Linked DNA regions of Macaca fascicularis. The protein of the gene in region 2 interacts with the protein of the main gene of each other region in a biochemical or structural test. Links are inferred from orthologs where the notes say so. Each region holds a gene or a part of one and is shown on either strand. Other genes may lie near its edges.

The links.
Region 1: the proteins of NUB1 (region 2) and PSMD4 form a complex in vitro, tested with the Homo sapiens proteins (2 studies listed by BioGRID). The link is inferred for Macaca fascicularis from reciprocal best matches to the Homo sapiens genes NUB1 and PSMD4.
Region 3: the proteins of NUB1 (region 2) and UBD form a complex in vitro, tested with the Homo sapiens proteins (6 studies listed by BioGRID, with this or other methods). The link is inferred for Macaca fascicularis from reciprocal best matches to the Homo sapiens genes NUB1 and UBD.

The regions. Positions count from the first base shown.
Region 1 is NC_088375.1:109,958,923-109,964,792, forward strand, and holds the start of PSMD4 (26S proteasome non-ATPase regulatory subunit 4), read right to left. Parts: upstream 3,585-5,870; 5' UTR 3,547-3,584; coding exon 3,521-3,546; intron 1-3,520. UniProt on the Homo sapiens protein: Component of the 26S proteasome, a multiprotein complex involved in the ATP-dependent degradation of ubiquitinated proteins.
Region 2 is NC_088377.1:192,621,734-192,627,564, reverse strand, and holds the start of NUB1 (NEDD8 ultimate buster 1), read right to left. Parts: upstream 3,320-5,831; 5' UTR 3,062-3,319; intron 2,413-3,061; 5' UTR 2,361-2,412; intron 95-2,360; 5' UTR 93-94; coding exon 1-92. UniProt on the Homo sapiens protein: Specific down-regulator of the NEDD8 conjugation system. Recruits NEDD8, UBD, and their conjugates to the proteasome for degradation. Isoform 1 promotes the degradation of NEDD8 more efficiently than isoform 2.
Region 3 is NC_088378.1:143,644,225-143,650,332, reverse strand, and holds UBD (ubiquitin D), read right to left. Parts: upstream 3,343-6,108; 5' UTR 3,312-3,342; coding exon 3,285-3,311; intron 748-3,284; coding exon 277-747; 3' UTR 46-276; downstream 1-45. UniProt on the Homo sapiens protein: Ubiquitin-like protein modifier which can be covalently attached to target proteins and subsequently leads to their degradation by the 26S proteasome, in a NUB1-dependent manner.

The DNA.
Region 1 (5,870 bases), on a different chromosome or scaffold from region 2:
GAACTACGTGCATACTGCCACAAAAATAATAAAATACCTTGGCTGGACACGGTGGCTCACGCCTGTAATGTTAGCACTCTGAGACGCTGAGGTGGGCGGATCACCTGAGGTCAGGTGTTTGAGATCAGCCTGACCAATATGATGAAACCGCATCTCTACTAAAAATACAGAAAAAAAATTACCTGGTCATGGTGGCAGGCGCTTGTAATCCCAGCTACTCGGGAGGCTGGGACAGGAGAATCCCTTGAACCCGGGAGGCGGAGGTTGCAGTGAGCCGAGATGGCACCATTGCACTCCAGCCTGGGCAACAAGAGCGAGACTCCATCTCAGAAAAACAAACAAAACAAACAAACAAAAAAAACAAACCTAGGAATACAACTAACCAGGGAGATGAAAGATCTCTACAATGAGAATTACAAAATACTGCTCAAATAAAGAAGATACAAACAAGTGGAAAAACATCCCACGCTCATGAATAGGAAGAATCAGTATCATTAAAATGGCCATACTGCCAGGCATGGTGGCTCACACCTGTAATTCAAGCACTTTGGGAGGCCGAGGTGGGCAGATCACTTGAGGCCAGGAGCTCAAGACCAGCCCGGCCAACATGGCCAAACCCCATCTTTGCTAAAAATACAAAAAATAAGCCAGGTATAATGGCAGGTGCCTGGAATCCTAGCTACTTGGAAGGCTGAGGCACAATAATCAGTTGAACCTGGGAGGCGGAGGTTGCAGTGAGCTGAGATCACACCACTGCACTCCAGCCTGGGCGACAGAGCAAGACTCTGTCTTATAAATAAATAAACAAACAAACAAACAAACAGACAAGCCATACTGCCCAAAGCAATTTACAGATTCACTGCTACTCCTATCAAACTACCAAGGACATTCTTCAAAGAACTAGGAAAAAACTATTTGAAAATTCATATGGAACCAACAAAGAGCCGGAAAAGTCAAGGCAATCCTAAGCTAAAAGAACAAAGCTGGAGGCAACTTTACCCAACTTCAAACTACTACTACAGGACTACAATAACCAAAACCACACGGTATTGGTACAAAAACAGGCACAGAAACCAATGGGACAGAATAGAGAGTCTAGAAATAAGGCTGCACACCTATGACCATCTGCTCTTGGACAAAACTGACAAAAGCAGTGAGGAGAAAGAGTCCCTATTCAATAACTGGTGCTGGCATAACTGGCTAGCCATATGCAGAAGATTGAAGATGGACCCCTTTCTTAAACCATACACAAAAATTAACTGAAGACGGATTAAAGACTTACTGTAAAACTCAAAACTATAAAAATCCTGGAAGATGGGCTGGGCACAGTAGCTCACACCTGTAATCCTAGCACTTTGGGAGGCTGAGGCGGGTGGATCACCTGAGGTCAGGAGTTTGAGACCAGCCTGACCAACATGGAGAAACCCTGTCTCTACTAAAAACACAAAATTAGCTAGGTATGGTGGCACATGCCTGTAATCCCAGCTACTCGGGAGGCTAAGGCAGGAGAATCGCTTGAACCCGGGAGGTGGAGGTTGCGGTGAGCTGAAGGTTGCAGTGAGCCAAGATTGTGCCATTGTACTCCAGCCTGGGCAGTAAGAACAACAACAACAAAAAAAAGTGGGCAAAGGAGCCAGGCGTGGTGGCTCAACACCTGTATTCCCTGAAGTTTGGGAGGCTGAGTCGGGTGGATCATCTGAGCTCAAGAGTTTGAAACCAGCCTGGCCAACATGATGAAATCCCGTCTCTACTAAAAATACAAAAAATTAGCTGGGCATGGTGGTGGACACCTGTAATTCCAGTTACTCAGGAGGCTGAGGCAGGAGAATCACTTGAACCCAGGAGGCGGAGGTTGCAGTGAGCTGAGATGGCACCACTGCACTCAATCTGGGCAAGAAGGGCAAAACTCCATCTCAAAAAGAAAAAAAAAAGTGGGCAAAGGACATGAACAGATATCAGATACTTTATTTTTATTTATTTATGTATTTATTTGAGAGGGAGTCTCACTCAGTCGCCCAGGCTGGAGTGCAGTGGCACCATCTCGGCTCACTGCAACCTCCACCTCTGGGGTTCAAACGATTCTCCCACCTCAGCCTCCGAAGTAGCTGGGACTGCAGGCGCCCACCACCGCGCCTGGCTAAATTTTGTATTTTTAGTAGAAACAGTGTTTCACCATGTTGGCCAGGCTAGTCAGGAACTCCTGACCTCAGGTGATACACCCACTTCGGCCTTCCAAAGTGCTGGGATTACAGAACTGAGCCACCGCGCCTGGCCACTTTTCAAAAGAAGACATACTATACGGCCAACAAGCATATGAAAAAGACCTCAGTATCACTGATCATTAGAGAAATGCAAATAAATCAAAACCACAATGAGATACCACCTAACACCAGTCAGAATGGCTATCCTAAAAAGTCAAAAAAGAAGCTGGCAAGGTTGCGAGAAAAGAGAACACTGGTATACCGTTGGTGCAAGTGTAAATTAGTTCAATCATTGAGAATCACTTGAACCCAAGAGGCGGAGGCTGCAGTGAGCCGGATTGGGCCACTGCACTCCAGTTCGGGCGACAGAGCGAGACCCTCTCAAAAAAAAATTATTCATCGTTTATCTGAAATTCAAATTTCACTGGGCATCCTGTATGTTACCTGGCAACGCTATGCTCCCCCAAAAAACTAAAAAGACGAAATCTCATAGGTGTCTGTCTCACCCAATTGGTGATTTGTGTTCGTCAACTATTCTGTATTACATTCAATGATTACAGGTAGAAGGAACTCTTGCAATCCTGCAAAAATTTATGTCCTCCCCATCTAATGTGACTCCTAATAGGTACTCAGCCCAAGCCTGAGACTGGCGAAGACAGCTACCTCACCGGATAAAGCCTTTGTGTCAGACAGCCCTGGGTTTAAATCTTGACTCCACCACTTAACTAGCTGTGTGATTTTGGACAAATCACTCAAAATCGCTGAGACTCGGTATCCTGAACCGTAAAACGGAGAGATAATCTACCTTAAGGTGTGGTTGTGAGGTTTAAGTGAGATAAACAAAATGACTGAGACATAAAAAGCAATCTGTAAATGGTACCTTTGAAGATGACACAGGGAAAGGTAATGAAGTTAGAGACGAGGGAATGGGGAGAGGAAGGGATTAATAATCTATTTTTCTAATAGACATTATTTTGCGAAGAAAGGAGGGCAGAAAACTATTACGATGAGTCCGAGAAGCAGAACTGTGGCTAAGGACAGACCCGGGCTGCTCTAGAGAAGACGGCGCTAGAACAGAGAAAGGCAGCAGGAATGACCGGTCAATGACCGTCCCCCTGGGGGTGAGAGGGGTAACCAGGGACTGTCTGCCACTCCACGGCCCCGGGATGACTCAGGGACTCCAGCGGGCTCCTAACCTCCGGGCCCAGGGCCGCCTCTCGCCCATGAGCTCCCGGCCCCCACCCCAGGCCCGCCCTGCCTTGGCGCCACACGCGCCCGGGACCCAGCTGTGCCCCTCCTGCCCCGAGGTAGCTCCTCACCACACCATAGTGCTTTCCAACACCATCTTGCCGCCTTCCTCCCTCCCGACCGGTTCTCCAGGACGGCCTAACAACAACTCCTCCAATTGGCCCATCGCTCTTCACCAATCACAGACCTCGGCTTGGCCAGCAGCTTCCGCCTCCGTCCCCCGTGTTGCGTTCTGGGAGTTGTAGGCGCCGCCAAACAAATGGGCTTCTTGTGGGTAGTTGAAGGGAATCGCGGTAACACAACAGGATCTAGCCTCTACTTTCCCTGCCATTGCAGTTCCCAGTTGGGGTTTCCCGCTGGCCGGATCTCAGAGGAGCTATGGAGGAACCTTTGAAAGTGCTGTGTCGGTTCCAGCTTCGTCATTTTAAAAAAAAGTGTCGGGATCGGCCGAGCGCGGTGGCTCACGCCTGTTATTCTAGCACTTTGGGAGGCCAAGGCCGGCGGATCACGAAGTCAGGAGTTCGAGACCAGCCTGACCAGCATGGTGAAACCCTGTATCTACTAAAAATACAAAAAATTAGCCGGGCATGGTGGCGCACGCCTGTAATCCCAGCTACTCGGGAGGCTGAGGCAGGAGAATTACTTGAACCCGGGAGACGGAGATTGCAATGAGCCGAGATTGCACCACTGCACTCAAGCGTGGGCAACAGAGTGAGACCCCATCTTAAAAAAAAAAAAAAAAAAAAAAAACTAGCCAGGCATAGTGGCGGGCGCCTGTAATCCCAGCTACTCTGGAGGCTGAGGAAGGAGAATCGCTTGAACCCGGGAGGCAGAGATTGCAGTGAGCACAGATCACGCCACTGCATTCCAACCTGGGGGACAGAGTGAGACTCCGTCTCAAAAAAAAAAAAAAAAAGTAGAGATCACTAATGACTTTCTACAGCCTTCAGTTCCCTGTAGAATTTTAATTCAACAAGCCCTTATACCTTTGAATTGAATTTATTTGTATATTTATCTCCTCCCCCATTTAACTAAGGGTAGGCAACGTGTCTTTTTTTTTTTTTTGAGATGAAGGAGTCTCACTCTGTCACCCAGGCTAGAGTGCAGTGTCTCGATCTAGGCTCACTGCAACCTCTGCCTCCTGGGTTCCAGCAATTCTCCCGCCTCAGCCTCCCAGGTAGCTGGGACTACAGGGGCGTGACACCATGACCGGCTAATTTTGTATTTTTAGTAGAGACAGGGTTTCACCATGTTGGCCAGGCTGGTTTCGATCTCTTGACGTCAGTTGATCCACCCGCCTCAGCTTCCCAAAGTGCTGGGATTACAGGCGTGAGCCACCACACCTGGCCAGCAATGTGTCTTAATCTTTACAATTCCCTAAGCCCAGTAGAGAGCCCAGAAAAGATTTGACAACTCAATTATATTAACTAATCTCCCAAAGAACAAACCACTAAACCATTTTGGTTTGTTAATCAAAAATTACATTTAAGGCCTGATGCAATGGCTTAGGTTTTATAATCCCAGCGTTTTGGGAGGCCCAGGCAGGAGGATCAACTCAGGCTAGGAGTTTGAGAACAGCCTGGATAACACAGCCAGACTCCGTCTCTACAAAATTTTATTGTTTGAGACAGGGTGTTGCCCTTTCGCCCAGACTGGAGTGCAGTGGCCTGATCTCGGCTCACTGCAATCTCCACCTCCAGGGTTCAAGCAATCCTCCTGCCTCAGCCTCCTGAGTAGCTGGGGCTATAGGTGCATGCCACCAAGCCCGGCTCATTTGTTTTTAATTTTTTGATGTGAGAGGATGAATTGAGTGCAGGAGTTCGAGACCAGCATAGGCAATATAGTGAGACCCCATCTCTGAAAAAAAAAAAGTCTCAAAGTGTTGGGATTACAGGTGTGAGCCATCACATCAGCTGGATATTTGATATTAAATAATTTTTTTAGGCATGATAATAGTGTTAAAGTTGTCACCATTATAAAAGGAATCTTTATTAAGGGTTATATGTTATATTCATAGACAAAAAAAGTATATGAAGTTTGGGATTTAATCCTTTGGAAGAAACAAATTGTTTTGTTTTTTGAGACAGGGTGTTAAATAAAACAAAAGAGACAAGGTCTCACTGGGCTGGAGTGCAGCAGTGGTGCAATCATATATAGCTCATTGCAACCTCAAACTCTGGGCCTCCCATCTCAGCCTCCGAAAGCTGGGATTACAAGCTTGAGCCACTGCACCCGGCCACACTGGCCTTTTATGTTGATAATTATTGAAGCTGGGTTATGTGTACACAGTGGTTTACCATACTACTCTACTTTTGGTTTGGAAATTTCCATAATGAAAAATAAAGGCCAGCTGGGCATGGTGGCTCACACCTGTAATACCAGCACTTTGAGAGGCCGAGGTGGGCAGATCACTTGAGGTAG
Region 2 (5,831 bases):
TTTTCATCTGTATATGGAGGTTTCCAAAGCTGAATCCTGTCTTCCCTTAAAAACTGGGTCAATTTTGCTTGAAGGTATTTCTTTTGTGCCATCCCTGAAAGCAAAACAATATAATAATAAAACTCCACACTGCATTTTAAAGTGTTAGTAACTTACCTACATGTTAAGGTGTTTTGTTGGGTAAGCAAAGCTCCCTTCTTCTCTCATTAAATATAAATTACTATGGTTTAAACAAGCTCCAGACTTCTCTAAAAATATACATGGAAATATATGTTCAATTATATATATTACATACATAAAACATGTATTTCAAAGTCACCAATATGTAGCAAGGATTATTACACGTTTGCTATTTCTTAATCCGCTATTCTCTTATCTAAGAGAAAAGAGAAAATACAAGAAAGATAAATCCCTCGAGTGGTGAACTTTTTTCTTTTTTTTTGAGACAGAGTCTCGCTCTGTTGCCCAGACTCGAGTGCAGTGGTGTGATGTCGGCTCACTGCAACCTCTGTCCCCTGGGTTCAAGCCATTCTCCTGCATCAGCCTCCCTAGTCACTGGGATTACAGGTGTGCACTACCACGCCTACCCAGCTAATTTTCATATTTTTAGTAGAGATGGGATTTCGCCATGTTGGCCAGGCTGGTCTCAAATTCCTGACCTCAAGTGATCCACCACCTTGGTCTCTCAAAATGCTGGGATTACAGGTGTGAGCTTGTAAATTCTCTCATACTTTGGCTAGTTTCACATAAAACAAAAGGCCAATCATCCTGGTAGTTAAATATAAAGAAAAGCTTGCTTGAACTGTAAACTATCAATAATAAATATTTTCAGGTGGGCGTGGTAGCTCAGACCTGTAATCCCAGCACTTTGGGAGGCTGAGTTCAGGAGTTGAGATCAGGAGCTCGAGATCAGCCTGGCCAACATGGTGAAATCCCATCTCTACTAAAACAAACAAACAAACAAACAAAAAATGAACAATTAGCCGGGCGTGGTGGCAGGCACCTGTAAACCCAGCTACTCAGGAGGCTGAGGCAGGAGAATCGCTTGAATCCAGGAGGCAGAGGTTGTAGTGAGCCGAGATGGCACCACTGCACTCCAGCCTGGGCAACAGAGTGAGACTCCGTCTCAAAATAATAATAAATATATAAATATTTTCTATGTCAGAATTTTTTAAATTAAAAAGATTACAATACTAGAAAAATGTTGCATATTTTCTGATTAACAGCCTAACAGCACATCTACTATTCAAATCTAACACTGATTGGATCATTTTACAGCTGAGAAAACCAGGGCCCTGAGTTTGTGCCATGACTCAGGCAAAGACACAAAATCAGGCAGCATCAAATTGAGCGTAACTTCCACCCACAATACTGGACTCTGAACTTCTGTCGTGGAGTCCCTTGCTGCTTGCCTGTTTCAGGTATGTAACTTTTCTCTCCCAGAGAAGTACATGCCACGATGGAGCTGTCTACTTATCCCACACTAGCACAGCACTTCAAAGATGCATGTGAGGCAGCTGAGATGTGAGGCAGCTGGCAGGGGTAGCACAGCGCTTTAAGGTTTACCAAATCACACAAGCAATAAGTAAAGAAAATGTTATTAGTCCCTGAATGATGAAGACAATTCTAGAGAGTGGAAAAAATATGAGTTAATATTATTGAGATAAATTTCTTTTTTTCTATTGAGGGCCAGTATTCCACATCCCCCCAAACCCAATTCACGCAACTTTGAAATCAAGTTTGGTAGCTTGTGTATTTCATAAACAAATATTTGTTTAAAGAAAGTTCAAATCTATTTGATGTCAGTGCAGGGGACAAGAATTATGTTAATCAGGACAGAGAGGAGAAAAGAGAGGAAGGAATAACACAGCCAAGGAAGTTGATGTGTGCAACCTGGGTGGCCCATGGGAGAATCCTCCATTTTCAAGCACTGACAAACAGCTTATCACAGCAAAGCATATTAGTACTTAAAGCGTTAGCTTTTCAAACACCAATAACTTAAAAGACTACTTTACATACTACTCATGAATCTTCAGAAATTCTGAATAAAATATCACAGCAACCCTACTGTTTCCCCACTGGGGGACAGTAATTTCACAGGTTGGTTACTGGAGCCAAGCAATTTGAAAGGCTGATGCGGTACTCAAAGACGCCATCCACGGCCAGGTGCAGTGGCTCACGCCTGTAATCCCAGCACTTGGGAGGCCGAGGCCAGCGGATCACCTGAGGTCAGGAGTTCAAGACCAGCCTGCTCAACATGGTGAAACCCCGTCTCTACTAAAAAAATAAACAAATAAAAATTTTTAAAAAGATGCCATCCAAGCCACCACTTGACAGAAGGACAAAGGAGTATTACAAACCTAGTGCGTGTCAGACACTCCAGGGAGCAAACAACAGGTCCAGGGTCTACACCTAATAGGATTTAATGTTAAAAAAAATTAAACCACTATCTTGAAACTTAGGAAACTTCAGTTACAGACAACAGAGTAAGTGGTGACATATTTTAAGTTTAATAAGTCAGCTTTTAATTTTAACTGAAATGAGAACTGAAAAAGTTTCATGCATGCCATACAATGTTTCACATTGTAACCAAGAAAAGACGAAACTCATTAAAACCACTCCCTGCTCCAAACAGAAAGTGAAACGTTATAACGATCCTTTAAAAATTTCACTTTCACTTTTGTAATGAATCAATCAATGCTACCTTTAGCCACAGTTTTTCAACTATACATTATATACAGTTGAAGCACAACTATATCTAGTCAAGACACATTCATTTTTTCTTACGAAAATATGTAGGAAAATGAAAGATTCTTGATTAAAAATAAAAGGGAAGGAGGTGAGAGTAATAGAATCAGGTCGTCAAGGTTCGAGAAAATCAAGTGTCTCGTCATTAAATAGCAAAGAAAATCTGGCTTTGATTGCAAATAAATCCCAAATGGTATACTCGGAGTAAGTGTTACGATTCAAGTATAGCATTTGGCTAATTTTTTATAGATATATTTATTCCTTTCTCTCCCCAAATCAATACACTCAACATTTTCTTTTAAATACCCCACACCTGTGCCTAACTCAGCGCAAACCAAAGGGCCCCGAAGGGCCAGCGCGTCCCGAAGCCCGACCCGCCGCTCCCGGCCCCGGCCCAGCTTCACGCATGGCCGCTGACCCCAGCCCCGCGGCCGCTCCACCCCCGTCAGGAGAGGTGCCCAGTCGGACCGGGAACCGGGGCGCCGAGCAGCGCTGCTGAGACTGGGGTCGGGGACACTCGGCCGCCGGGTCCTCACCTGCGCCACGCCGCGCCCGCTGCGACCAACAGAGTGCCCGGATGCGCCGGCGGCCGCCGTTTGTTTTCATTCCGGGTGAGGCCAGCCCCGCCCCCGCCACCGCTGCTGCCGCCGCCGCCGCCGCCGCCGCCGCCGTAGCCGCCGCTTGGAAGGAGGGTTGTGGGCGGGGCCAAGGCGAAGCCAGTCGTGGGCGGGGATACGGTCGTGTGGGCGTGGTTACCGCGGGGCGGAGCCGCGACGGGGGAGCTAAATGGAGGCGGGGCTGGGCGAGAATGTGGCCGTGTGGGGCGAGGACCTGGGAGTTGGTGTCCGACGCCGCCCCAGGCTCAGGCTTCCAGGACCTCCCGCCCGGGCCCAGTTTGCCAGCCATCAAGAGGAAATGGATCCTGGCTTTGTTTCTCCAAAATCCTTGAAAGAGGCTGGGGGAAGGGTCGGGACCGTCCCAACCCACATCTCATCCCTCAGCCTAGGCTGGACCCCCTCCCTAAACCAGCGGCTTTTCACCCCGCCCTCCACAATCCCACGAGGGGCTTCCCTGGGGTGAAATTAGGCTGCTTCCCGGGAATTTCCTCCCCCATGCTGTCCACGGCCACTAGGGACTACAAAACCTAGGGAGCTCTGCCTGCTTTCAAGGCCCCATTCCCAAGGCTGTGCTCAACAGTGACGCTTCTATTTTATTATCAGTTATTGCTGTTAATCTCTTACTGTGCCTAACAAATTAAACTTTATCGCAGGTATGTATGCATGTATAGGAAAAATGCAGTGTGTGTGTGTATATATATATTTGTGTGTGTGTATATGTATATGTGTGTATATATATAGTGTGTGTGTGTATATATCTATACATGGGTGCAGTACTATCCGAGGTTTCAGGCATCTACTGTGGGTCTTGGGACATACCACCTGTGTGTGGGTAAGAGGGGACTGCTGTAACCTTGCAGTGACCAATCCGCTTTTCGTTCCCTGTTTCTGCTTTCTTTAGGCCTTTTCTACCTATAAAACCCACCTCCTCTGCCCAGCTCATTGGAGTACCGTTTCTAAATTTTTAGAGAAGATGCCATCCTGATTCGTGAATCAATAAAAGCCAATAGATCTTTAATCTAAATCTGTGGAAATTTTGACTTCTGACAAAGAGGTATTAAATAACTGTATAACCGCATCAGACCAATCTGATTCACCTTTTATATACCCAAGTTGTGAGTTGTTTTTCAGTTGCATGGACTCCCAGAAGGAAGGTTTCACACGTAAGCTGAGGATGCCCAGATGAGCCGAGCATGCAACCGGGGCGGAACCTGAGTGCTCAAATCAAAGCAGGGACTGAATTAAGAGATGGGCACTGCATGGTGAGATCCAGAATGCAATCAGATCAAGCCCTGGCATCACCCCATGGCAGGGTCCAGTCAGATGAGCATCCCAGCATCACCTCATCGCAAAATCTAATCAGATCATGTGTCATTACCGTATGCTTATAAAACCCAGCTCAAGGAGACAGAGTTGAGGGTTTCCTCATGTCTCCTTGACAGTCAACTCACGACAAAGCCTTTCTTTTCTCAAAAACCAGTGCCATGGTGTTGGCTTCTGGCACATCAGGAAGCAAGCCCGTTGATTGCTCAGTAGCAATTGCAGCAAGGTAGAAGGACAACAGAATCTGTTCTGACATTTTTTTCTGAGGGCTTTCTCTGAAATGAGTAACAAAGATAGTTTCACTTTTACAGTTACATAGTAGACCATCAGGAAATTGAATGTCCACGGTCAGGTGTGGTAGAGAAGCTTGCGGTAGACCAAGACTCCAGCTAACAACTAGAAAAGCCAGAAAGCAAAGTCAGAAAACATCTGTTTGAAGGCAGTGGAAGCTGCTGAGGTAAGAATGGGCGGACTTGATATTCCAGAGAATGAGGAACCTTCAAGTGAGCTAATGTCCACAGTGGCTTGTATTGATGTGTGACGGATTTTGCCAATTCTGGATACAAGGATGAGGCTGAGAATTTAGACTTTGAGACCACAGAAGGCCACTGCTGGGGACAGAAAAACAACACAGCTTTTGCAGAGACATAGGGGGAAATTCCAAGGACAATTGCTACATTCAAGGCTTGTATGGGGCAAGAAACTGAAATATAAATGGAAGGCCTCTGAAAGCAGAAGTTTTTGATAGACTGCAAAACAAAGATTCGAGTCTGAGATCTGCTAGGGTGGTGGTGGAAGTGGGTTGCTGCAGAGCCTACACCATGTTCCCAGTTGCAAACTGGAGGGCAAAGGTAGCTTGAACCCTACCAGAACTTCAGCCCAGCCTTCACTCCACACAGTCCTTGATTGGATTAAGGTTATTGGCCACTCCTCTCTTTGGTTTTGTGGAGGAAAGGGAAAACCCTCGTGAGAGAATGATAACATTTGAAGCCTCTACAACTTTTTAGAAGTTGTATTTGGCATCTCATTAAAAAGTTACTAGATAAATGAAAAAAAAGAAAAAGACAATAGAAACGGACCCACAGATGAGTCAGATATTGGAGTTGCCTGATTAAAAATAACTATGATGACCATTTTCAAGAA
Region 3 (6,108 bases), on a different chromosome or scaffold from region 2:
CCATAAATAACAAGGTATCAAGAAAGAATTAAATTGCAAGCTGGCTTTGAATGCTCTATTTTGCCTTAAAATTTTATTTACTAGTCTCAGTAATACATTATTAAAAATCCTGCCACTTAATTAATTGTGTTAGAATCAAAGAAACAGAGTTGGACAATATTCTTCATCCTACCCATCCCACCCAAATCTTACTCTACTCATCTCATTCTCACGTTGATTAAGAGATTAAAAGAAATAAGCTTTTTGGCCCTTGCCAACACCCCATCCCCAGGGTGGTCACCCTGCAATACAATAAGATGTCAGGAAGAGTAAGTTGCCCTTTCTGATTCCATAATCTGCCATCATCTTCCCATCTTCCAGTCTCTTTCCATTGCAATTCACAATCTGGGTCTCAGGGGTTACACCCGTCTTGGTCTCGATCATTGCTTTCACTTGTGCCACTGAGCTGGACCTTCGCACCTGGAGGAGGTGCCTCTGCCCCTCATCACCTGACTCCACAAGATACAAGGGCAGCTCCTCATCACTGGGCTTCACCACTTTCAGGGTAAGGTGGATGGTCTTCTCCTTGTCAATGCCATAAGATGAGAGCCTTCTCCGTGGCTTTAGGATCTTGGAGCCCAGCAAAAGAACCTGGTCCTGCACAGGAACCTTGGTCTTAGACCGGACGTGTTCACTGATTTTTTTCACGCTGTCCTCTGGGTTGGCATCAAAGGTCATTAAATCCCATTCCTCAGAAAGAACATGCACCTGGGAAGTGAAAGCCACAAGACAGTTGCCTAGGATGCCTGCCTCACTTTACATTTCTGCTCCCCACCACAATGGCTCCCACCCTTCCGCTATCTATCTGGTCTCCTAGCTCCTGTTCAGTAGCCAGTGTCCCTCTCTTTCTTGGAACTTCTCCTTTGGAATTACCAAGTTGCAACACAAATAAGAAAATTTGTCCCATTCCTTTATAATCACACCTTTTTTTCAATCTTGAGAATGAAAAATAAAATCCTGAGCCCCCAACCAATTGAACGGACCCTCTCTTGCTCAGGGGGACCCTAGAGAAATTTTAAGAACTTAGTCATTGGGCCAAGGGCAGTGGCTTATACCTGTAATCCAAGAACTTTGGGAAGCTGAGGCAAGCTGATCACTTGAGGCTGGGAGTTCGAGACCAGCCTGGCCAACTTGGTGAAACCTCATCTCTACTAAAAATACAAAAATTAACCAGGCGTGGTGGTGAGTCCCTGTAATCCCAGCTACTCAGGAGGCTGAGGCATGAGAATCATTTGAACCCAGACGGCAGAGGTTGCAGTAAGTGGAGATGGCACCACTGCACTCCAGCTGGGGCAACAGAGTGAGACTCTGTCTCAAAAAGATAAATAAATAAAATACCTCAGTCATGATGAAACAGGAGGCTGGACATGCCTCATTATATCTTCTCCCTTTTGCAGTTTAGACACAACTGACTAGCAACGTTAGAGATTATAAGACTGAAAGAATGGATTATTGGTGGCAATAAGATTTTTGTAGCAAATTTTAAACAAGACCTAAGGCTATAATAGGCAAGAGTTAAGTCATGCATCCCTACACTTAAAGAATAAACTATGTTCTAACTGCCACAAAATATTTTTCTTTTTTCTGTAGCAGCTAAACAAGCACTGGCCTCGAGAGGAACAATATTAAAACAATTACAGTTCATCCACAGGCTAACTGACCCCCTGTTCCTCAAGCCATAACTACAGTTTTAATTGGACAAATGACTGATTTCAGTAATTTTCTCCTGATAAGAGACCACTGACCATGGACTGGTTCTGGCTAGTCTACAGAAGCTGCACATTTGAATGCCTTTGTGTCCCTGCTTCACCTTTTCATGTATAAGGCCTAACTGTAATGCAATTAAATGTTAAGTCTCCACCTCAGAGTGACCATGGGTGGTATATAACATGCAAGCTCATTCAACATGCATGCATTAGGACTCCCTTCATGAATATTCATTGCCTCTGCCATAACCTATTGGATATGTATACTTAGCAAACCCCTTCAGCATAAATTCCTGTGTCACTTTCCTCCTACAAAGCTTGCTTTTGGTTTTCAACCAGAAGCCGAGCTTCTCAGCTTGTCAGAATGGCTACCTTGCAGACTATAACCCTTCATAAGAAATGAAGTCTCCTTTCTAAATTTATAAATTGTGTGATTTTTTTTAGTTGACAATTTTTTATTTCGCTTTTCTGTGCATTTCAATAGATGTAAAAAACATACCTTTATTCATCTCGAGATGTAATTAAAGGTTTTCCACCTTATTTACCTGCCTCTCCTATCCAGATAAAGTTTGTCAAATGTCAAAAAAGTAAATACAGAGCTTCAAAAGATGTACACCAGACTCTAAAAACAACTGTCAAAGAGAATTTCTAAAATATGACAGCCTCATAAGATACAGCAATAGGATACCCTCTGTCAATACTTCAGAAGGAAATCCTGGGTAGGGCACATAATCACTGAACTGTTATTTTTTTTTCAAATCTCCCACTGCTTTACAATAATAACTTACATATTACAGTGACACTATGTTCAGTGTTTCTTGTTAATTTATATTTCTTGTATTTTTATATCTATCTAATATAGAATACGATCTCCTTTGATTAGACCAGGGCCTCACTCACAGAAGGTAGGGACTATGTCTAAGTCTTACTTCAATAGCTGGAAAACCCTAAAAGACTGGAAAACTCACTCCTAATGGCCACTTGAAAGCCTGAGAAGACCTCCCTCATACTCCATTCAGAAATATTTTCCCAATCTAGATATTGCAGACATTTCTTCACTGGAGGATCTGTGTTAAGCATTGCCTTAATTCCAGGTTCTCTCCATAGTGCATACTTTCTTATATAATGTAATGTGTTAGATCATTAACAACTTCAGATAAATGAGTTTTGTGAAGCTCTCCTTTGAGAGGAAAGAGAAGATTAAGTTTAAGAACCCTAAAAAATGTTTCCATAATTTCAAATCTCACCAGCCCTGTGGAACACAAAGCTCACCCCCACTTTTTTTTTCTACCATTTATCCCTAAGAGTAGCTAGTCCAATGTTTGATTAAAAAAAGAACACAGAAGCCAGATAACCAGCTTCTCTTCAGACAATTCCTCTTCCCATTCTGCAAATGTCGATGCCAGCCTCTTCCCCTTAAGGATGCCTGCCCAGCCACCCAGAGCCCTGAGTACTGTCCATCCCCCGTTTCTAAGATCTCTCCCCAACTCTTGAAAGTGCTTTTCCTTTCCCCATCCCCTTTATCAAATCCCAACTTACAGAGAGGCAGGAAGCATTGGGAGCCATCTTTGCAGTCAAGGGGCCAGAAACCAGAGACAGAAAAAGGATTTTAACTCCAGCTTATATACCAGCGTTGAATTGGAAATCCCCTCCTGGATTGCTGTGTTTGTCCAGCTTTGCTGTGCCCTTTGTTCTTGCATGCTCCCATGAATTTTCTTTCACTTTTGCTGGGCAGGAGTTAATAAACAAAGAATGCTTTCTGATTACGTACTTCTCCCCTCAGGCAATCTATTTGCAATCCTCATTCCAAACGGGATGGTCTTTCTGTGTTGAAAACTTTTCCCTGATTAAAAATCCACCTCTCCTCTCCCAGTCCTGACTTATTACTGTCCGTCCTGTGGCCTGGGCCCTCACTGGCATGAAGACCTGTAATGCTTGCTGAACCTCTCATGCTGCCTTTAAGAGCACCCCATTACTCAGGGGCCGTCCTAAGAACGAGAGCACCCAGGCAGGATACGGCAGTCAGCATTGTGTGGAGTGCTGTGACTGTGAGCCTGACATGGCTAGTCTGGCAGAAGGTGTAAAACATGCCTTAAGAAGACATAGGAGAAATAACCTCAGACTGAGAGGAGATACGAGTTAGAGTCCCAGGAGGGCCACTTGCTACATTACCTTGGGCAAATCCATTCATCTCCTTAGATGTTGGTTTCCCAGTCTATAAAATGAGATGACTGGAAAAGATTCCTAAGTGTCTTCCAGGCTCAGAAAACTTTGCTTGTAAAATTCCCTTTGCAAAATAACATTGGATTTCTGGGTCTTGAGCTCTCCAACATACGTCCTACCCTGTCCCAGAACCTGCAAACCAAATCCACTACTTGAGAACAATCCTAAGCCAACAATTAAATGCTGACTCCTCACTTCAACACACAAAGCAATCAACATCCACTCTCACACTGCGGGGCCTCTATTTCTCTACCTTTACTCCTGGATGCACCTCACCACTGTGATCTCAGACAAACCTAAAGGTGCCGCTCTCTCCCTCGCCCTTGAGACTTAGATGGAGACAAGAAAGGTGTGCCTGTCCCCGGGAAGTTTACTCCATCACTCTGATCCTCCTCGTATCCCAAATTAACTACTGCCCCCTCCCAAACTCTCAGGGCATTGCTATGGAACCAGTTTTTAAAAGCTTTTTTTTTTTTTGAAATGGAGTCTCACTTTGTTGCCCAGGCTGGAGTGCAATGGTGCGATCTCAGCTCACTGCAAGCTCCGCCTCCAGACTTCAAGTGATTCTCCTGCCTCAGCTTCCCGAGTAGCTGGGATAATAGGCACCTGCTAATTTTTGTATTTTTAGTAGAGACATGGTTTCACCATGCTGTCCAAGCTGGTCTCGAACTCCTGATCTCAGGCAACCTGCCCGCCTTGGCCTCCCAAAGTGCTGGGATTACAGATGTGAGACACCGTGTCCAGCCTAAAAGTATGTTTTCAAGTGCTTCAAATCTTTTCAAAGTAGGAAGCTCTTTAAAATGCCAAGTTATCATCTCTGTTTGCAGAGGCATTTACTGTACCTTCACTCACTGACAGATCGCAAATGACCCCATCTTATTCTAGGAGGTTCTGTCCTGGAGAATCGAATTTACAGAAGTACTGGATTGATGTAGAGTAATGAAATGCAACAGCTCATTTCTCTACTTCAAAAGCTTACTATAAATCATGTTCTTCTATATGAAGCTTTTATTAGATAGCTAATAAAATTGAAAACATTAATTATTATTTAAATGTATTTTGTGGAGTAGACATAATTTTTAATACACAGGCAGGATAATTAAAAAGCAGAAGAGTGCCTAATGGAATACATTAGGAACCACTGGCCTCTGCTATTCTCCTTTCAGATCTTTCTCCAGGTCCCTGTGACCCCCTTTGTGTCTAGAAACTAATGTTCTGACCTTTGGCTGCTACACAGCAGATAAGGGCTGCCCCTCATCCGTTGTCCAGTGGGATTTGGAGATTCTGAAACATTACCAGTGGCCAATGTCAGATCAGGTTCAGGGTGATCAGGAAACAGAAAGCCCTGCGGGATGGCAGGGGTGGGGGAAGTACCTGGAAAAAGAGAAAGGAAAAGCTGTACAAACCCAGACTTCAGTAAACTGCTCTCGCTTTTCAAACTTTGTTTGCACTCACCACTTTCTTAGATCTTCATGTTATTTCCAGGGAGACAAGAGGAAGAGAAGATGGTTAAAAGCTGCTTAAAATTAGGTCACTCTCTTCTCATACCCTTTCCCACTTTCCTTCTACCTCAGTACCTACACTATCTTGGTCCCAATGTCTGCACCAAGTATCAGGAGCAACAAGGAACCTTGGCCAGAGGCTGGCTCCAGGAGGAGAAGCCAGGATGACATTTCTCAGGAAAGATCTTTGTCTGTTGAAGCCACCCAGATCTATACCCACAGTCCCAACCTAAGCGCAGATCTATATGTCTAGCTGTGTCTGTGTCTATGGGGATTCTCGTTCCTTGAATTTCCTGCATATCCTTGAACACCCCAATCTCTCTGCCATCTCCATGCCACTGAGCATGCCTTTTCCTCCAACTCTATCCCCACCGCCATGAATGTATAAGAACACACGGTGTAAACAGCATCTTCGTCAAAAAGCCTTCCCTAACTCTCTTCTTCCCCATCCTGGGTTATGTGCCCATCTTCTGTCCTCTACGCTTCCTTCAAATGCCTCCCAGAGCGTGTTTCTTCAACAACAGCATCGTCTGCTTGTCTATAATTTTTTTTTTTTTTTTTTTTTTTTTGAGATGGAGTCTCGCTCTGTCGCCCAGGCTGGAGTGCAGTGGCCGGATCTCAGCTCACTGCAAGCTCCG